2 linked regions of the Callithrix jacchus genome follow. The protein of the gene in region 1 binds, or shares a complex with, the protein of each later gene. Links are inferred from orthologs where the notes say so. Each region holds a gene or a part of one and is shown on either strand. Other genes may lie near its edges.

The links.
Region 2: BAZ1A (region 1) and CHRAC1 share a complex: the UniProt entries of both Homo sapiens proteins name them as parts of the CHRAC ISWI chromatin remodeling complex. The link is inferred for Callithrix jacchus from reciprocal best matches to the Homo sapiens genes BAZ1A and CHRAC1.

Annotation. Positions count from the first base shown.
Region 1 is NC_133509.1:69,376,509-69,386,376, reverse strand, and holds the start of BAZ1A (bromodomain adjacent to zinc finger domain protein 1A), read left to right. Parts: upstream 1-4,544; 5' UTR 4,545-4,605; intron 4,606-9,868. UniProt on the Homo sapiens protein: Regulatory subunit of the ATP-dependent ACF-1 and ACF-5 ISWI chromatin remodeling complexes, which form ordered nucleosome arrays on chromatin and slide edge- and center-positioned histone octamers away from their original location on the DNA template to facilitate access to DNA during DNA-templated processes such as DNA replication, transcription, and repair.
Region 2 is NC_133517.1:57,025,506-57,035,370, forward strand, and holds the start of CHRAC1 (chromatin accessibility complex protein 1), read right to left. Parts: upstream 5,722-9,865; 5' UTR 5,656-5,721; coding exon 5,497-5,655; intron 5,057-5,496; exon of another isoform or gene 4,741-5,056; intron 3,133-4,740; coding exon 3,006-3,132; intron 2,392-3,005; coding exon 2,270-2,391; 3' UTR 1-2,269. UniProt on the Homo sapiens protein: Forms a complex with DNA polymerase epsilon subunit POLE3 and binds naked DNA, which is then incorporated into chromatin, aided by the nucleosome remodeling activity of ISWI/SNF2H and ACF1.

The DNA.
Region 1 (9,868 bases):
GTGTGATCTGTGGTCCAGCCTCCCAGTATTTCTTGGTTATTATAAATCCTGAATCTCAGGCCTGAGATTAGTAACTCAAGCTTATTAATTTAAACCCTGCATTTTAACAAGGCTCACAAAGCAATTTGTATGCACATCAAAATTTGAAAGCAGTGTGCTATAGAGATTTCCCTCTAGGATAATAATCTATAACTTTTGCTTACATTAAATTCACCTGGAGGAGTTTTTAAAAAATACTGAGGACTGAGTTGCAACCCCAGAGATTGATTTAATTGGCCTGGGGTTGAAACCCTTGGCATTGGTATTTTTACAAACCCCTAATTGCAGCCGTGGTTGAAAAACAGTGCTCTAGGATTACAGCTTGCCGTTGTCAGGGTCCTAGTTACTTTAAAAACCAGAAAGAATGCCTTTATCATCTGATGAGGTGTCGTCAGAAAACAACAGTGATCTGAAAACATCATCCCTGCAACTTGCATCCCCAGAACTTTTTAACTATTGCATCTGCCTGGCTTGGCTTTTTGCCTTGCCATTTGTTTGGTTTCCTTAATGGACAACTCTTGTCTTCTGATAACTTAACCACCTCTTCTTCATCTTCATTCCGACATCTAATAAAATGTTGTGATTTGCCTACTCAGTTTAATAAGGAGCCACAGATTTGTATCTGCCTGTGTTCCTGTTCTTCTGCCTTACATATACTTAAATATTCTTGTACATAAACCTGATATAAATTGATTCCTTCTGGCCAGGTGTGGTAGCTCACACCTGTAATCCCAGCACTTTGGGAGGCTGAAGTGGGTGGATCACTTGAGGCCAGGGGTTTGAGACCAGCCTGGGCAACATGGTGAAATCCTGTCTCTACTAAAGCAAAAGTTAGCTGGGTGTGGTGGCCCACGACCTATAGTCCCAGCTACTTGGGAGGCTGAGGCACCAGAAACATTTGAACGTGGGAGGCACAGGTTTTAGTGAGCTGATATTGAGCTGCTGCACTCCAGCCTGAGCAACAGAGCAAGACACTGTCTCAAAAACAACAACTAAATTTGATCTCTCACCTACTAGTTGCAGCTTCAGTTTGGGAGATTTTTGTTCTTTTGTACTGTTAAAATTCCATACTTACAAATAGTCTTATCACAGTGGTCAGCTCTTCTTCCACCATGGTGATTAGTGACAGCATGCCATAGAATTCCTCTGATATGCCAACCCAGAAACCTTAGCAAAATAAAGGAAAAGGGATTCATTTTGAATGAAATTCTAAGCGCCCATGTTTTTTTTTTTGAAACGGAGTTTCGCTCTTGTTACCCAGGCTGGAGTGCAATGGCACGATCTCTGCTCACCACAACCTCCGCCTCCTGGGTTCAAGCAATTCTCCCGCCTCAGCCTCCTGAGTAGCTGGGATTACAGACACGCACTACCATGCCCACCTAATTTTTGTATTTTTAGTAGAGACGGGGTTTCACCATGTTGACCAGGATGGTCTTGATCTCTTGACCTCGTGATCTACCCGCCTCAGCCTCCCAAAGTGCTGGGATTATAGGCTTGAGCCACCACGCCCGGCCAGCTTCTTTTTTTTTTTTTTCCACACTTATTGCCCAGGCTAGAGTGCAATGGCACTATCTCAGCTCACTGCAACTTCCACCTCCCAAGTTCAAGTAATTCTTCTGCCTCAGCCTCCCGAGTATCTGGGATTACAGGCATGTGCCACCACGCCTAGCTAATTTTGTAGTTTTAATAGAGATGGGGTTTCTCCACGTTGGTCAGGCTGGTCTTGAAATCCTGATCTCAGGTGATCTGCCCATCTCAGCCTCCCAAAGTGCTGGGATTACAGGTGTGAGCCACTTTGCCCGGCCACCCATGTTGGCTTCTAATGATGACTGCGTACTTCTATAAATACACATAAGCCAATGCTTAATAAACTGCTACAGAATGTTGCAGGCTCTTGGATTCAAACTTTCCACCATGTGGAAAAGACTATTAGACTATTGAAAATTTGGAAAGTTGTCAGTCTACACTTTTCCAGAAACTGATCACTCCTACCTCATTCTTAACATAATTTCTCAGAGATTACTAATGCTGGTTCTGAAATCACTGGGCGAATTCTTTCAATATCTCCAGAGTCCTGGAGTCTTGAATTCTGTAGAAGAGAGAGGTAATATTTATCATATTTTCATGTATTATGGGCTTTTAGTCCATCTTACATTGTTCATTTAACATACATAAACGAAGCATCATAATGTGCTGAACTTGGACAAAGTTGAATAACAAAGGAGTTTACTTCTTATTTGGCAGGAGAAATATATCCCCAACCAATACAAACTGATTGTAATATGAGAGAAATGGATTGGAATGGGGCACATGAACTTCTGTGTGTGAAAATAGCTGGTCTTAAAGTTCAGAATATCTAATACTGCACTGGTATTATAGATATGCAAAGTTTAACATCTGTCCCAGGGGTATGAACAATGTTAAAGAGTTTTATCTGGGGTACCTAGACGGCAGCATCCCAGAAGTATTTTGATATTTTTTCCAGCTTGAAAATATTGTTTGTTGCTTAGAAGATGGAAACAATATAGTAATCAAGTTGCTGAGCTCTTTTTTTCAGCTGCTAAAATTATATAATTTTCCTCAAAAAGTAGGTCAATTTCTTTGCTGAAGTATTTCTTCCTACAAACTTCTTTTATTTTTTTTTTTTGAGATAGGGTTTTACTCTCAGTAAAACCTGGGGTTCAGTGGGGTGATCTTGGCTCATCGCATCCTCAACCTCCCGGGTTCAAGCGATCTTCCCACCTCAGTCTCCCAAGTAGCTGGAACTACAGGTGTGTAACACCACACTAGGTGAAATTTTAAGAAGTTTTTTTGTAGAGACAAGGTCTCACCATGTTTCCCAGGCCAGTATGGAACTCCTGGGCTCAACTAATCCTCCTGCCTCAGCCTCCCAAAGTGTTAGGATTACAGGCATAAGCCACAGTGCCTGACTTGCCTGGCTTACAAACTTCTAAAGAGTCTGCAGATGGAAGATAAAGACAATTTATATCAAGGTAGAGAAATAACAAGATAGCCATTTAAACATTTTGATATTATGATGTAAGTTTTGGTTTTAGGGCATACAGTCCATGCTAAAGGTAGATTTGACTTTAGAAATATCTACCTGTAACATATTTTATGATCTGCCTCAAAATCTGCTTTTTCCAACTTAAGAACAGTGGTAGGGAAGATAATTAATAATAAAATTTGCTCATGCCAGGCACCTATCTTATTTGATCCTCAGAACAATCCTCCGAGGTAGGCACTATTATTAACTCCATTTACAGATCAGGAAATAGGCAGAGATATTAACTGATATACACACACTGTTTAGTTGTAGCCATTAAGTGCCAGAGATAGGATTTAAATCCAAGCCTACCTAACTTCAGGTAATAAATGAGTGACCACCATAAAAACTGCTCTTTTTATCTGTTGTAGTTCTTTGCTACACTATTAGGTAAAGCTCACCTTTCTACCTTTCTTCAAATTGCCAAGAGGATATTCCAGATTCAGACTTGAAATGATGCTTAGAAGCCCCTAAGCAATGTCATCCCTATTGTGTGTCTGTGGTGGTGGTTTTTCTAAAGCCCCATGCTTTAGAAAATGGGGCTTTAGAAAGACATAGACATATAAAAATAAAAACCAAAAAAAAAAAAAGGAAGGGGGCTTCTGTTCTTTGAGGAGAGGTTTATGTACTCATTTGTCCCCCCAGGACCTATTTGAATATATGCTTTTTTTTTCCCTGTCCCTGGCATCCCTGCATATATCTGAAACAGACAGAAATTATGGACATGTACCCTCCCCCAGGTACTCTATCTTACATTTTCAGATTTTGAACTCAATACCCGATTGTAGCCCATTTATTAGAATTCATATAATGAATAAAAAAAGAATATGTTTTTCTCTAATAATTTATTTAATTGTTCAGTAATTTCATCTTCTCTAACAAAAGGGATTAAAAGCATGCCATACCTGGCCAGGCATGGTGACTCATGCCTCTAATCCCAGCGCTTTGGGAGACCAAGGCATGAGGATTGCTTGAGCCCAAGAGTTTGGGATCAGCTTGGGCAACACAGTGAGACCCCCCCACCCCCCAGTCTGTATGCAAAAGAAGAAAAATTTACAAAACACACATACACCTTTACTTCACTATGAATTACAATAACTGACCTTACCACTTGTGGCTCAGCCACTAGTGCAATGGTGCAATCTCCGCTCACTGCAACCTCTTGCACCTGGGTTCAAGCCATTCTCCTGCCTCAGCCTCCCGAGTAGCTGGGATTACACGCATGTATCACCACACCCAACTGATTTTTGTATTTTTAGTAGAGACAGGGTTTTGCCATGTTAGCCAGGCTGGTCTCGAACCCCTGAACTCAGGTGATCTGCCTGCCTCAGCCTCCCAAAGTGATAGGATTATAGGCGTAAGCCTGGCCGTGACCAAGTTTAATAGAATGTTGAGATTATACTACTGTTTTCCTGTAGGTTACTGGTTTTTAACTGCTGAAAGGAAAAAGCCAGTAAATAGAACATAGTCACAGCAATATGAAATTCAGCCTATAACTTTCCAACAGCCCCCCAAAAAAGGTAATTTGTATTTTTTAGCTATTTACAGCTTTTGTTGTCTTTAACTGTATTTGGCATTTAGGACCTGACTATCTTATTTGAATACTGTTTGGAATCAACTGTGTATAAATTACTCCAGATTTCTTTAGAAAAATTGTGAAACAGATGAAGTTGTTTTTCCCATTAATCCTCCATTCTTCTTCTCCTTCTTCTCCTTCTTCTTCTCCTTGTTCTCCTTCTCCCTTCTTCTTTTTTTTGAGTTGGAATTTCACTTTTGTTGCCCAGGTTGGAGTACAATGGTGTGATCTCAGCTCACCGCAACCTCTCCCTTCAGGGTTCAAGCGATTATCCTGCCTCAGCCTCCCAAGTAGCTGGAATTATTAATTTTGTATTTTTAGTAGAGACAGGGTTTAACCATGTTGGCCAGGCTGGTCTCAAACTCCTGGCCTCAAGTGATCCACCCATGATGGCATCCCAGAGTGCTAAGATTACAGCCGTGAGCCACTGCACCTGGCCTACTCTTTTCAATTAAATACATTTAAAAAAAAATTCCACATGAATATGAACATATATTGTGCATCATTTAGTAAACATATTTGCTCATTTATTTTGCTTATATAAATGGTGACCAAAACTTTTTGATCAGTAACTTTACATTTAAGGGTGCAGACAACGGATGTTCCATTTTCATTATTTGGTTAAATTGTAAACATTAAATTGTACCTATGTTTCAGAACTTAATGAATCAGAGATAAAACTCAAGTAATTTGATGAACTCTACTTATTCTTTCTGATTCATATAAAGTATATTTTTCTGATTACTTGTGGATTCTTCATGCATTTGTTTATGCTGTATAATTATTCAGTTACTAATCATGGGTTTATTAGGCATGTTTTATAGACTTACCACTTTAAGAGAAATAAATACTTTTTCTCTAAACAAAAAAAAGGACACATACTCTGACAAATATATCTCTGGTGACAATGTTTCTGAATCACAGAATAGACTATCCTTCAAAATCTAAAACATAATGTTGCCAAATATATCAATTACTGAACAAATAAAGTCATTGTATAATTCAATGATAAAAAGTGATTTATTAGGGCCGGGCGTGGTGGCTCAAGCCTGTAATCCCAGCACTTTGGGAGGCGGGTGGATCATGAGGTTAAGAGATCGAGACCATCCTGGTCAACATGGTGAAACCCCGTCTCTACTCAAAATACAAAAAATTAGCTGGGCATGGTGGCGCGTGCCTGTAATCCCGGCTACTTGGGAGGCTGAGGCAGGAGAATTGCTTGAACCCAGGAGGCGGAGGTTGTGGTGAGCCGAGATCACACCATTGCACTCCAACCTGGGTAACAAGAGCTAAACTCCGTCTCAAAAAAAAAAAAGTGATTTATTGAATACCATTGATGTGCCAAGCACTTTATATACATTATACCTAATTTTTATGGCAACCTTGTAAGATGGCTGATATTATTTCCAATTTATAGATATAGAACCTAAGATTTAGGGTGGGAGTGGAGAGAGAGGGTGATGTAACTTGTCTAAGATCAAATGGCTGGTCTGTGCCAGAGCTGGGTCTCAAATTCAAAGCTGGTCTAACACCAAAGCCCATGTTCCTTCTCTAACGGTGCATTAGCTCAAATAACTTATGATGTCCTAGTGAGTCCTAGCGTACAGATACTTGTGGTTAAGAAAGGACAGAGAGAGAAATCAGAAGTGAGTCAGATAGACCTGGGTTGAATATTGGCTATACTGTCTCTATCACTTAATAGTTGTATGACGGCCGGGCACGGTGGCTCAAGCCTATAATCCCAGCACTTTGGGAGGCCAAGGCTGGTGGATCACGAGGTCAAGAGATCGAGACCATCCTGGTCAACATGATGAAACCCCGTCTCTACTAAAAATACAAAAAATTAGCTGGGCATGGTGGCATGTGCCTGTAATCCCAGCTACTCGGGAGGCTGAGGCAGCAGAATTGCCTGAACCCAGGAGGTGGAGGTTGTGGTGAGCCCAGATCGCGCCATTGCACTCCAGCCTGGGTAACAAGAGCGAAACTCTGTCTCGAAAAAAAAAAAAATAGTTGTATGACTTTGAGCATGACATCTTCTCTGAGCCTTCATTTTCTTCTTAGTAAAATGGGCTTAGCAATACTTACTCAGAAGATTAAAAGAGGTATTGTATGTATTGCTCTTGACACAGTGCCTAGCACATAGTAAGCATTCAATAATTGCTATCTGCTATTTCCATTGTGATTTTATAGTAGCAGTTCAAAGTGGCATTGATGTATTCTAGTAAAAATGTTATCATTGGCCGAGCTTGATGGCTCATTCCTGAAATCCCAGAGTTTAGGTGGACCGAGGCTGAAGGATCGCTTCAGGCCAGGAATTCAAGACCACCCCAGCCAACATAGTGAGATTCCCCATCTCTACCAAAACAGAACAACAACAACAACAAAACCTAGCCAGATGTGGTGGCACATGCCTGTAGTCCCAGCTACTTGGGAGGCTGAGGCTGGAGAATTACTTGAGCCTGGGAGGCAGAGGTTACAGTGAGCCAGGATCTCACCACTGCACTTCAGCTTGGGCAACAGAGTAAGAACCTGTCTCAAAAAAAAAAAAAAGGAAAAAAAAAAAAGCCAGGGAGAAGGGGGAGAAGTGGAGAGCGTGGCTAGAGAAGGAAGCCAAAAGAATGTATTATAACAGGAAGCTAATGAGTAGATGACAGACAGAATGGCTAAGGTTTTGAAGGCTGTGCTAAAGAGTTTTTCTATTGTTGTTTTTTGTTTGTTTTTGTTTTTCAGACAGGGTCTCACTCTCTCGGGCAAGCTGGAGTGCAGTGGCACGATCTGGGCTCACTGCAACCTCTGCCTCCTGGGTTCAGGTGATTCTCCTGCCTCAGTCTCCCACGTAGCTGGGATTACAGGCATGCACCACTACACCCAGCTAATTTGTGTTTTTATTTTGTATTTTATTTTATTTTATTTATTTTTTGAGATGGAGTCTCTCACTGTTGCCCAGGTTGGAATGCAGTGGTGAAGTCTCGGCTCACTGCAACTTCTGCCTCCCAGGTTCAAGTGATTCTCCTGCCTAAGCCTCCTGAGTAGCTGGGATTACAGGCACCCGCCACCACGCCCAGCTAATTTTTTGTATTTTTAGTAGAGAGAGGGTTTCACCTGTTTGCCAGGCTGGTCTGAAACTCCTGACCTTGTGATCCGCCTGCCTCAGCCTCCCAAAGCACTGGGATTACAGGCAAGAGCCACGATGCCTGGTCCTAATTTTGTATTTTTAGAAGAGATGAAGTTTCACCATGTTGGCCAGGCTGGTCTCAAACTCCTGACCTCAAGTGATAGACCTGCTTCAGCCTCTCAAAGTGCTAAGATTACAGGTGTCAGCCACCACTCCCAGCCTAAAGAGTTTTAGCTTTAACAACAATGGGGAAGAATTTACAGACTTATATTCAGTGACATGATTAGATTTTATTTTATTATTTATTTATTTATTTGAGACAGAGTCTCACTCTGTCACCAGGCGCCAGGCTGGAGTGCAGTGGCGTGATCTCAGCTCACTGCAACCTCCGCCTCCCGGGTTCAAGCAATTCTCTTGCTTCAGCCTCCCAAGTAGCTGGGACTACAGGGGCGCGCCACCACACCCAGATAATTTTTTTGTATTTTTAGTAGAGACGGGGTTTCACCGTGTTGGCCAGGATGGTCTCGATCTCTGGACCTCGTGATCCACCCACCTTGGCCTCCCAAAGTGCTGGGATTACAGGCATGAGCCACTGTGCCCGGCCTAGATTTTATTTTTAAAACAACACTGTAGTGTGGAGAGCTGCTCGAGAGAAGAAAGAAAATATAGGCAGATTAAGCGGTACTATTTCAAGCATGAGCTGATTGGTTTGAATTGGATTGGTGATAGTAGTAATGATAGGAAAATTAGGAAACTCAAAATTTAAGAGAGTTAAAAGAAAAAACAAGATTTTTATGGATTGGATAGTAGCAATTAAGGGAAAATGTGGTATTATCATGAAATCTAGTCATGCTCTAGAGATAATTTAGGTGCTAAGTGATTAACAACTGCCAAAACAAGACAAAAGTCTTTCTAAGATGTAGTTGAATATTAAGTTTTATCAATAAACTTGATATATTTTAGTTGGAAACAATTAACTATACGAAGCATTAGTAAAAATCTAAATTATTTCTAATTTTGCTATTAGCTATGATATGCCATATTAATGTGTCCTCTCATAAAACTGAAATGGTATTTTATTTAATTTTAATTTTTATTTTTTGAGGCAAAGTCTCACTGTCGCCCAGGCTGGAGTGCAGTGGCGCAGTCTCAGCTCACTGCAACCTCCACCTCCCAGGTTCAAGCAATTCTCCTGCCTCACCCTCCCAAATAGCTGGGATTACAGGTGAGCACCACCATGCCCAGCTAATTTTTATATTTTTGGTAGAGATGGAGTTTCACCATGTTGGCAGGCTGGTCTCAAACTCCTGACCTCAAACTCCTGATCTGACTGCCTCTGCCTCCTAAAGTTCTGGGATTACAGGCATGAGCAACTGCATCTGGCCTGATATTGTATTTTAGATGTATTTTTAAATTTGCAAGTTGTGGCTGCACTGTTGGTTCTGACTCATTACTCATGAATGTCTTTCATCCCAGCTTGGTAGAAGCCTTTATGGGTATTAAAGTTCATAACACCCCTGACAGACAGTTTATAGGTAATTAAATTCTGTGATCTACCCACTTGATCTATGAATCAGTTCTTAGTTAATAGTCTCTTACATATTTCAAATGAAATAAAAAATTTAAATAATAATAATGGCACAAGCCACAGAGAAATACAAAGGAGTTTAAAATAACCATGAAAAAAACTTCTAAATTTTAAAATAGACCTATTTTAGAAATGTGTGAAACTTTATGCTTGAATGAGTTTAAGATGAACCTAGAATAATTCATTCCTTAAAAAAACATTTTTGGAGGCCTGCTGTGTGTCGGACACTGTGCTAGAGGTGGCTACATAATTATACATAAGAATTGTCAGCACCAGTCGGGTGCAGTGGCTCATGCCTATAATCAGCACTTTGAAAGGCATAGGTTGGAGGAATCATATGAGGCCAGGAGTTCGAGACCCGTGTGGCCAAACTGGTGAAACCCCATCTCTACTAAAAATAAAAAAATTAGCCTAGTGTGGTGGTGAGTGTGTGTAGTCCCAACTACTCAGGAGGCTGAGGCATGAGAATTGTTTGAATCCGGGAGGTGAAGTGCAGTGAGTTGG
Region 2 (9,865 bases), on another chromosome or scaffold:
AGGAGGCTGAACCCAGATGGCAGCTGCAGTGAGCTGGAATCATGCCATTGCACTCCAGCCTGGGTAACAGTGAGACCCTATCTCAAACAAACAAAAAAAAATCAGTCATCAAACTAGAAACAATCCAAATGGGTAATGTTCCATATACATGGAAAATGGATAAACAATCACATCCATACAATGGAATCCTACTCAGCAATAAAAAGAAATGGACGTCTAATACCCGTGCTAACACGGATGTATCTCAAATGCATTCTGCTAAACAGAGAAACTGCAGCCTTGAATGCTACCTACTCGATGATTCCATTTATATGGCATTCTGGAAAAGACAGTCAGCCAACTGGTCTGTAGGCCAAATCCATTCATTTTTTTAATGACACATAAGCTAAGTATTTACATTATTAAATGGAGAAAACAGTATTTCATGACATGAAAATTACACAAAATGCAAGTTTCAATTTGCAAAAATGAAGCTCTTGAAACACAGCACCTGCATTCCTTCATGTATCACCTGTCTGCTTTCGCACCACTACAGCATAGTTTAGTAGCTGCAACAGGGACGATAAAAGGCCACAAAGCTTGAACTATTTACTGCATGGCCCTTTCCAGAAAAAAATCTGATACCTGCTATAGGGACAGAGATAGCTTGACGGTTGCCAGGGTAAAAGGTGGGGAAGGAGTTGACCACAAGGGAATTTTTTGGAGGATGATGTAGTTGTTAGTTGTGGTGGTGGTGACTTGACTGCATTTGTCAAAACTCAGAACTGTACACCAAAGAGTAGATTTTTAATTATTTTAAAATAAATGTTTGGGGGTTTTTCTTTCTTCTTAGAAGATTTAGTAATAGTAACCTAAAAATTAAATGTTAATAAACAAGAGGCACAGAAAACACCGGTGGCTGCTAGAGGGCAGGAGACAAGTCTGAGTATGGGGGCATTGGGGAATGTCATGGGTGATGGAACTGTCCTGCCTAGCGATTGGTGATAAAACCATACATTTGTCCAAATTCACAGACTAGACACTAAAAAGGGTGACTTTACTGAATGTAAATTATAAACTTTTTATTCTTAATTATTTTTTAATTTTTCCTTCATGCAGAGTAACTTCAGGAAATAAACTTTTTTGTTTTTAAAAAAGAAATAATGAAGGCTGGGTGCAGTGGCTCACACCTGTAATCCCAGCACTTTGGGAGGCCAAGGAGGGCAGATCACTTGAGGTCAAGAGTTTGAGACTAGCTTGGTCAACAAGGTGAAACCTCGTCTCTACTAGAATTATAAAAATTCATCAGGCGTGGTGGCACATGCCTATAATCCCAGCTACTTGGGAGGCTGAGCAAGAGAATCGCTTGAATCTGGGAGGCAGAAGCTGCAGTGAGCCAAGATGGCACAACAGAGAATCTGTCTTTAAAAAAAAAAAAAAAAGATAATGAAAAAAGAAAAGAAGAGCTAAACATTTACCCTATGTGAGAAAAAAAAAATTGGGCTTATGATAGGTTTGCTCTTAGACAGTAAAAGCAAGTGCCAGGAATTTAAAGCAAAGAACAGTGAGATGAGAAAGATCTTAAACATACAGTGTTTTGCAATTTTTTTTAGAACAACAAGCTTATACAAGAGGTAAGACTTACTTTGTATTTGATTTGATAATTTGACTTGGAATTTTTCTGTGGGAATAAAAGTGTTAGAATGCTTATTTTTAAATTTCAAAAAATTTGTAGGCAGTAACCAAGGCCTCAGAGCCATGGAGGGCTCTAAAACTAGTTCCATAAAGCATTTTACTGTAAAAATACATACAGATCTTTAACAGAAAAGTATATTTCTTTACAGTAGAAAAATATTTGAACAACTTTTCTTAAAAGACAAAAATTCAAATGTAACATATGACCAGCTAAAACTGAATCTAGCTGTTTATAAGAACTGATTCCAAAATATACATATATGAAAATTTACATAACTGATACGTGGAAGCTCTTTAAAATTGATTGTAAATTTAAAAGTTAAAGTAGGCCTTGCCTCTACAGTTTGGAGCTGCAGATCAGCCGGCAATGGCTGCCGGTCTCAGCTGCTTTCTTGGTGCCTGAGCTGCAGAGTGGGCCTGTCGAGAGGCTGTCGTCTGGGTCACTCTCCCTCTGGCTGTTTATGGCGTAGGTGCATGAGGCACTCAGTCTTGGCCTGGAAAGATGCTAACGGTGTGCAGTGTTGTGTATGCTTGGAGACAGTGGAGCGGGTCCAGGGCAGTCCTCACCAGGCTGGTTCTAAAGCACTTTTTTGGTTTAGGATTCGGCTTCATCATGGTCACTTTCATTATCACTGTCATTCTCCTCATCTTCTTCCCTCTTTTCTTCTTTAAGCATTTTCAGGTATTTACTAGCTAAAATCTTCTTTGGTAATATATCTTAAAAACATAAAGTTTACATCAGCCATTATGGTAGACTATGAACACAGTAATGCAAATTTCAAAATGTACTATTTCCTGATTTGACCTCTACAAGAGTTTCCAAAACAAGATGAAATTGAGACTATACTTCTGGGTAAAATATCAGGGAAACTAGCACTGTCTCCTAACGAATGCTATAGGACTATTTCCATTTCACTCAGTACAAACCATGGTGTCTCTATGAGCCGCTTTATGAGCAACCCTGCCCAATTAGCTGAGATAGACTAAACTGGCCCAGGGCAGACTTAAGCTCTTTCTAACTATAGGCATGTACACTTACCCTGAGCTTTCCCTCCCGTCGTAGGAAGAAGGGAAAGGACTGCCCAGCACACGCAGCCAACCAGCATCTTGTGCATGCTATTGGCTTCATTTTATTGTTCTAGGTGGACTACATTACAAACACATTCAGACAAGACTAAAAGTATCTTCCAGTGACAGCTCATAGTACCTTTGAGGCTTGGAAAAAGTAGCAAAAAGTCTAATTCCTTCAAAGCAGAAGGGAGGCAAGGGGTATGGGAGTAGCTATTGCTGACTATTCATTTTTCAACCAGAATGTTTCAAAGACTAAGTACCTGTAAGAAACTGAAAAGTTTCTGATTCCTCTGCAGTGTTTGCTAAATCACTGTAAGTCAGTACTTTCTTTTCCTTTCCACTGCCATGTCTGTAGGAATAGGTAGCTAGATATTGAACAAAGAGCTCCTAAAAAAAAAAAAGAAAAAGTAAAATGAAAGATGTGCTTTGAAAATTTACCCCAGAGCTCAATTTTTAAAATTATGCTGTTGATAAGCTTATAACAGGCTTAAAATTACATTAAGACTTCAGATTATCTTGGTTTCTCAAATTAAATTACAAGAAATCACTGGGGAGGCCAGACATGGTGGCTCACACCCAGTAATACCAACACCTTGGGAAGCTGAGCCAGGCGGATCACTTGAGATCAGGAGTTTGAGACCAGACTGGCCAACATGGTGAAACCCCATCTCTACTAAAAATTCAAAAATTAGTTGGGCATGGTGGCAGGTGCCTGTAATCCCAGCCACTTGGGAGGCTGAGGAAGGAGAATCACTTGAACTTGGGACGTGGAGGTTGGAAGTTGCAGCACTCTAACCTGTGCAAAAGAGTGAGACTCCGTCTTAAAAACAAATAAATAAATATATCACTGGGGAAAGGAAAAACATGAGGTCAGAAAGCAAGCAAGGCTGGTATCAAAATTGGCGGAGAAGCAGGCATTTTCCAGAGTCTTAGATGTCTAACTTATGAAAAATACGAATCATAACTGTTCAATGAGCAACCTCTAGAGTAAAAGAAGCAAAAAGCCATTCAAAAATTCTGTTTGGCTCAGGAATACATTTTGTCTTCTATTTGCATACACTGTTTCTAAGGTGGTTCACCTATAACGATAGTGACCACACCTCCTATTCTGCTGACTTTTCTAGAACTGACAATCCTCAGACCTAATGCAACAACCGGACATCTTCCCCTCCCCAACCACAGTTCTTAAAGCAGGGCCAGGTCTTCATTTTTACAGAGGATAAACTAAGCCTCTTCCTCAAGGTTTTGATTTCAATGCATCTAGTTCAGTTAATAAGGGATGAGGATGGGCATGGTGGCTCAAGCCTGTAATCCCAGCATTTTGGGAGGCCAAGACAGACGGATCACCTGAGGTCAGGTGTTCAAGACCAATTTGGGCAACATCGTGAAACCCTGTCTCTACCAAAAAAAAAATACAAAAATCAGCCGAGTGTCATGGCGGGTGGCTGTAATCCCAGCGAGTAGGGAGGCTGAGGTTGCAGTGAGCAAGATCTGCACTGCACTCCAGCCTGGGGAACAGAGTGAGACTCCGTATCAAAAAAATTAATTAGAAATCTTAAGTGCCTGCATAAATCCTCATTCCCTAAAAGTAATAAAATGAAATTGTACAGGAAAACACAAATGTCCCCAGGTGAAATGCTGAATATGTAATTACTTCCCTGGGCTCTAGGAAAACATGGCTCTGGTATAATACAGCAGGCGAGAAATCTGTAATTTCCCATTTCCCTTAGTTCTGGTCGAACACTGTAGGGACATTATGTACTTAAATACAAGCCGGGACTGGGAAATAGGATCTAAGACAAGTTAAAGCCTTTAACTGTGTAGCTAAAACATGGCCCAGTCTCAGAACAGAAAAACATCTAGCCTAACACTATCAACACGCAATGTTTTTTAAAAAGACAAAATCTATTTTGTACCCAGGAGGATGCTTAAGAGGCTATAAATCTAGGTCCCCTAGACTTCCTTAAATTCTGGCTGGGGGATGTGCTTTCTCTTAGAGGAGGTGCCAGGTGTGGTGCGGAGCGGGGGGCTCGAAAGCCTGGGAGCGCTGGAGCTGGCGCCTGACCCGCGGGAGAAAAGCCTCGAGCCTTGGGTGGAGCGCCCGGCTGCCCCTCCCACGGAACACTGGAGGAGTTAGGACCCTCAAAGAAAGAAGCAGACCAACGGCAAGAAAAAGGAAGGCCAGGAATAGGGAGTCGCGGGTGAAAGAGCCGCCAAAGAAACCAAATGAGGCCAACTCCACTTGGCGCCGAAGTCTACGGGTAGGGCCGGAAGCTGAGCGCGGTGCGCGAGGGACTACGGGAGCATACAGGTGGGCGGAACAAAAGGCGCGCAAGGGAACTTGGGAGCTTATGGGTTTGCGGGACGGAAACACGCGATGGAGGGCGGGAGCGCGACGGGGTGGACGGGGCCGAAGGTGCGCGAGGAAAGGAGGAGCGAAAAGAGCGAGAAAGGGCGGGAGCGGGTCGCGGTGTATGGGACGAAGAAACTAGAGACAGGGAGGGAGCGGCGCGGGGTGGGCGGGGCGAAGACGCGCGAGAAAGGGAGGGGGTGCCGCGGGTAGGGGCGCGCTGCCACTCCGGCGCGCGCCGGCGTGGGAGGGAGAGGGGGGGCGTGGGAGGGAGAGGGGGGGCGCGCGCGAGCCCGGTAAGGGCAGCGGGAGGCGCTCGGGTCTAAGGGGACTGGACAGTGCCGGGAGCCTGGCGGGGCGGGGCGCAACGAGCAAAGGCGGCCCCACCCCCGCCCCCTCACCGTGGCCTTGGCCGTGAGCACCAGCGCCTCCTGGTTGATGCTGGACACCTCTGGGGAGCTCTTCATGATGACCCGGATGCGTGACAAGGGCAGCGAGACGAGCCGCTGCTCCCCGCACTTGTCTTTGCCCACGACCACGTCCGCCATCTTCCCGCTCATTGCGCGGGCGGCAGCCGGCGGGCCCGACCGCGAAGTGGCTGTCTTACCCGGCCAGCCGGTGGGTGCGAGGAGCCGCGCCCGCTGCCCCGTGGGAGTTGTAGTGTGGGGAGGCGCGGTCGCGCGGCCGGGAGCGGCCTCTTCGGGAGACTACGAACCCCGTGATGCCTCGCGCGCGCGCCCTGCGCATGCGCTGGCGCTCGGACCCTGCCCCCCCTTCTCCCACCCCCGCGCCGAGTGCGAGGCCCGACGCGGGCTGGGCGGAGGCGTCCCACTCAGGAGCCTGCGAACCGTGATCGCGGGACGGGATTTTGAGGTCCAGGGCGCTGCGAATGGGCAAGCAAAGCTCTTTGAGTCCGAGCCTCATCGCTCGGTGCTGTGTGTTAAGCGCCTGCGCTGTGCCAGGGCCGGGCGTGGTGCCGTGGACTTTCCTGCAGCACAGAGTCGTCGGGGGACGGCCAAGCGGACTAGCGAAGGCGTCCTGCACCAGTAGCTAGGCGGCCCGTGGAGGAGCAGAGAGCAGCAGCGCGGGCGATGCGGCGAGGCCGGGCTCGCTGCGCCGCGGGGTAATGGGGAGAAGCGCCTTCCTGTGGGCGGGGCTGGGGGAGCTGCCCTGAGGAGGGTCCGGAGCCCGCGGCAACTGCCTCTCCGGGACTGCTCCGAGAGAAGGCGTCCAGAGCCGGGTGTGCTCGCTGAGGTCTGACAGGCAGCCCGGGGCTAGGTCCTGATGGATTTTTTTCTCTGAAAAAAATGGGAAGTCGTGGAAGGCTTTGAGCTAAGGAGTCCCGGACAGTTTTAAAAGGATCCCTGCAGCTGCCAGCTGGGAGGGCGTGGGAGCGCGTAAGGGCGGAATCATCGAGACCAGGTAGAAAGTAATTAGAACCCGGGAACGTGGCCCTCAGGAGGCCGGCTGGACCAAGGGGACAGCAGCTGAGAGGAGAGTGGCAGGAGATGGTTAGGGGCCAGAACAGGGAGTGCCTTGGGGACCTCAGAATTCACTCCTTTAGAGCGGGGAGGCCCTTGGAAAAGTAAGGGGTCCAACTTAACTTTTACCAGGATCTTGGAAAGTGGTAGGATTTGGGGTCTGAGTTCAAGAGGGAGCTGAGGTGACGTGGACTACAGCACAGCTTTCTGAGGTATCAGAAAGGCCTCGGTAAAGAGCCGTGTACTCAGGGAGCACTGTGGCAGGAGCACATTTTGGCATAGGTTTGAATTGGAGCCTGTTGAGTGTAGTGTCTTCTTCACCACTGTGACCTCAGGTCCCGGCCCAAATAATTGAGCACAGAAATACATGTCAGGCATTGCTAGCGCAAGGGTTCAACCGGTGAGCAGGGCTGCCATGGCCCCTGCCCTCTTACAGCTGACGTGCGTGTCTGAGGGAGACTGAAAAATAACACCTCCGGTCAGGCGCGGTGGCTCACGCCTGTAATCCCAGCACCTTGGGAGTCCTAGGCGGCTTGATCACCTGACGTCAAGAGTTTGAGACCAGCCTGACCAATATGGTGAGACCCGGTGTCTTCTGAAAATAAGAAAATTAGCTGGGGGTGGTGGTGGGCTGAGGCAGGAGAATGGCTGGAATCCGGGAGGCAAAAGTTGCAGTGAGCTAAGATCGCGCCACTGCACTCCAGCCTAGGCGACAGAGGAAGACTCAGTCTCAAAAACAAACCCCAATGCCGAATGCTACGAAGAAAACAAAATCACGTGCAAGTGATAGAATTAGCCTCTCTGAGAAGTATCATTTGTGCCCAGATCTGAAGAAAGAAAAGGAGCCAACCATACAGGAAGACTGAGACAAGGTGAGCTTTCAAACAAGCCAGACTGGGGAGAACACCTCAGAGGAAAATGTCCGGTCAGATTAAGGAATCGAAAAGCCAGTGTGGCTGGAGCTTAGCGATGGAGGCAGACAGCACGGGAGACTTGTTTACGAGGTGGGTGGTGGGACTGGCTCCCGCATGGGTCAGAAGCTTGGCTTTCATTTCAAGAGCAATGGAAAATAAGACGTTTGAAGTCGAGGTGGCACATGCCTGTAATCCCAGCACTTTGGGAAGTTTAAAGCAGGCAGATCGCTTGAGCTGAGCCCGGGAGTTTGAGATTAGCCTGAGAAGCATAGCAAGACAGCATCTCTACAAAAAATTTAAAATTAATAGGGCATCGTGGCGAGAACTTGTGTTCCCAGCTACTCTGGAGGCTGAGGCAGGAGAATGGCTTAAGCCCATCAGGTCAAGGCTGCAATGAGTGGTGATTTCGCCACTGCACTCCAGCCTGAACTACAGAGCAAGATCCTATCTCACAAAAAAATTAAGGGGAGGCTGAGGCAGGTGGATCACAGGTCAGGAGTTGAAGACCAGTTTGGTCAGCATAGTGAAACCCCATCTCTACTAAAAATACAAAAATTAGCCGGGCATGGTGGTGTGTGCCTGTAGTCCCAGCTACTTGGGAGGCTGAGGCAGGAGAATTGTGTGAACCTGGGAGGCAGAGGTTGTGGTGAGCCAAGATCACATCACTGCACTCCAGTCTGGGCAACAGAGTGAGACTCCGTCTCAAAAAAATAAAAATAGGCTGGGCGCGGTGGCTCATGCCTATAATCCCAGCGCTTTGGGAGGCCGAGGCGGGTGGATCACGAGGTTAAGAGATCGAGACCATCCTGGTCAACAAGGTGAAACCCCGTCTCTACTAAAAATACAAAAATTAGCTGGGCATGGTGGTGCGTGCCTGTGGTCCCAGCTACTCGGGAGGCTGAGGCAGGAGAATTGCTTGAACCCAGGAGGCGGAGGTTGCGGTGAGCGGAGATAGCGCCATTGCACTCCAGCCTGGATAACAACAGCGAAGCTCCGTCTCAAAAATAAAAAATAAAAAAGAGTTTTGGGCCTGGCTCAGTGACTCACGCCTGTTATCCCAGCACTTTGGGAGGCTAAGGTGGGCAGATCATGAGATCAGGAGTGTCTACTAAAAATACAAAAATGAGCCAGACATTGTGGCATGCACCTGTAGTACCAGCTACTCAGGAGACTGAGGCAGGAGAATCACTTGAACCCAGGAGGTGGAGGTTGCAGTGAGCTGAGATCACACCACTGCACTCCAGCCTGGGCAACAGAGCAACACTTTGTCTCAAAAAGAAAAAGCTTTTAAGGTAGCAGATCCACTTTAAAAGCACACACTGGTTCTTGAGTGATGACAAAATGGCACTGCCTTGTGTAGAGCCTACTCCTGGGAGTTTGCACAGACAGGAGGTGGAGCTTCATCCTCAGGACTGTGCTCCTAGTCTTTCTCTCCTGACCTTGCCTCTGTAAGTGAGAAAGCCCTTGACATTCACAGAAGACAAGGGCGGGGAACTGCTACACGAAAGCAGCTACACAGGAGGGTCCTTTGGTCCACACAGGAAACAAGCCATAGTGATGACATACCTGCTGAGGCTGTTAAATGTTTTGTTTCCCCAGCTGGCTGTTGTCTTTTATATGGCTTGTCTTTCTGTTTTGAGTATGTGTGAGAGCAGGCTGGGTTAACGTTAGGAAAGATCACAGGATAAGAGGAAGGAAGGAAGAGCCAAAAGAAGTCAAGGAGAAGAGGGATGAGAAGCTAGGCTTGTAGAATTGGCAGGTGATGTTTGCAGTCATTGATCATATGAGAAGTAGAGAGAAGCCAAGCAGGAAATCTTGACTGGAAAAGAAGTGCTCACCATTTTTTTTTTTTTTTTTAAAGCAAGCTCGGTGCAATTGCTCATACCTGTACAAATCCAACACTTTTGCAGGCCGAGGTGGGAGAAACGCTTCAAGCCAGGGGTTTGAGACCAGCCTGGGCAATATAACAAGACCCCCAATCTCTTAAAAAAAAAAAAAAAAAGGACAGCAGAATTAAAGACTGTTATTCTTGAGAACTTTCCGGCTCTGGAAAAAGCTCAGTGAGTTAGTCTCATTCTGCTGTTAGCTCCGTTTTCTAGAGGCCCACTTTGTCTTCACGACAGTGCCTCTGTACCATTCTCATGGGCATCCCAGGGTGCTGCAAGGCAGTTTTCTGCATTCCCCAGAGTGTCCTGTCAGCTGGCTTCTGGGTAGGTTCTGCAAATGGGAGGCCTCTATGAGAGACTGCAGTGGGGTCGGAGGAAGAAGCCTTGTTTATCTGCCTGCTGGCTGCAGGGTAGTGACTGCAGTGTGGGGTTATAGGGATCACCACCTGCACATAGGGTGCTTTAAGCGTCTTCACTCTAGGTTTCTGC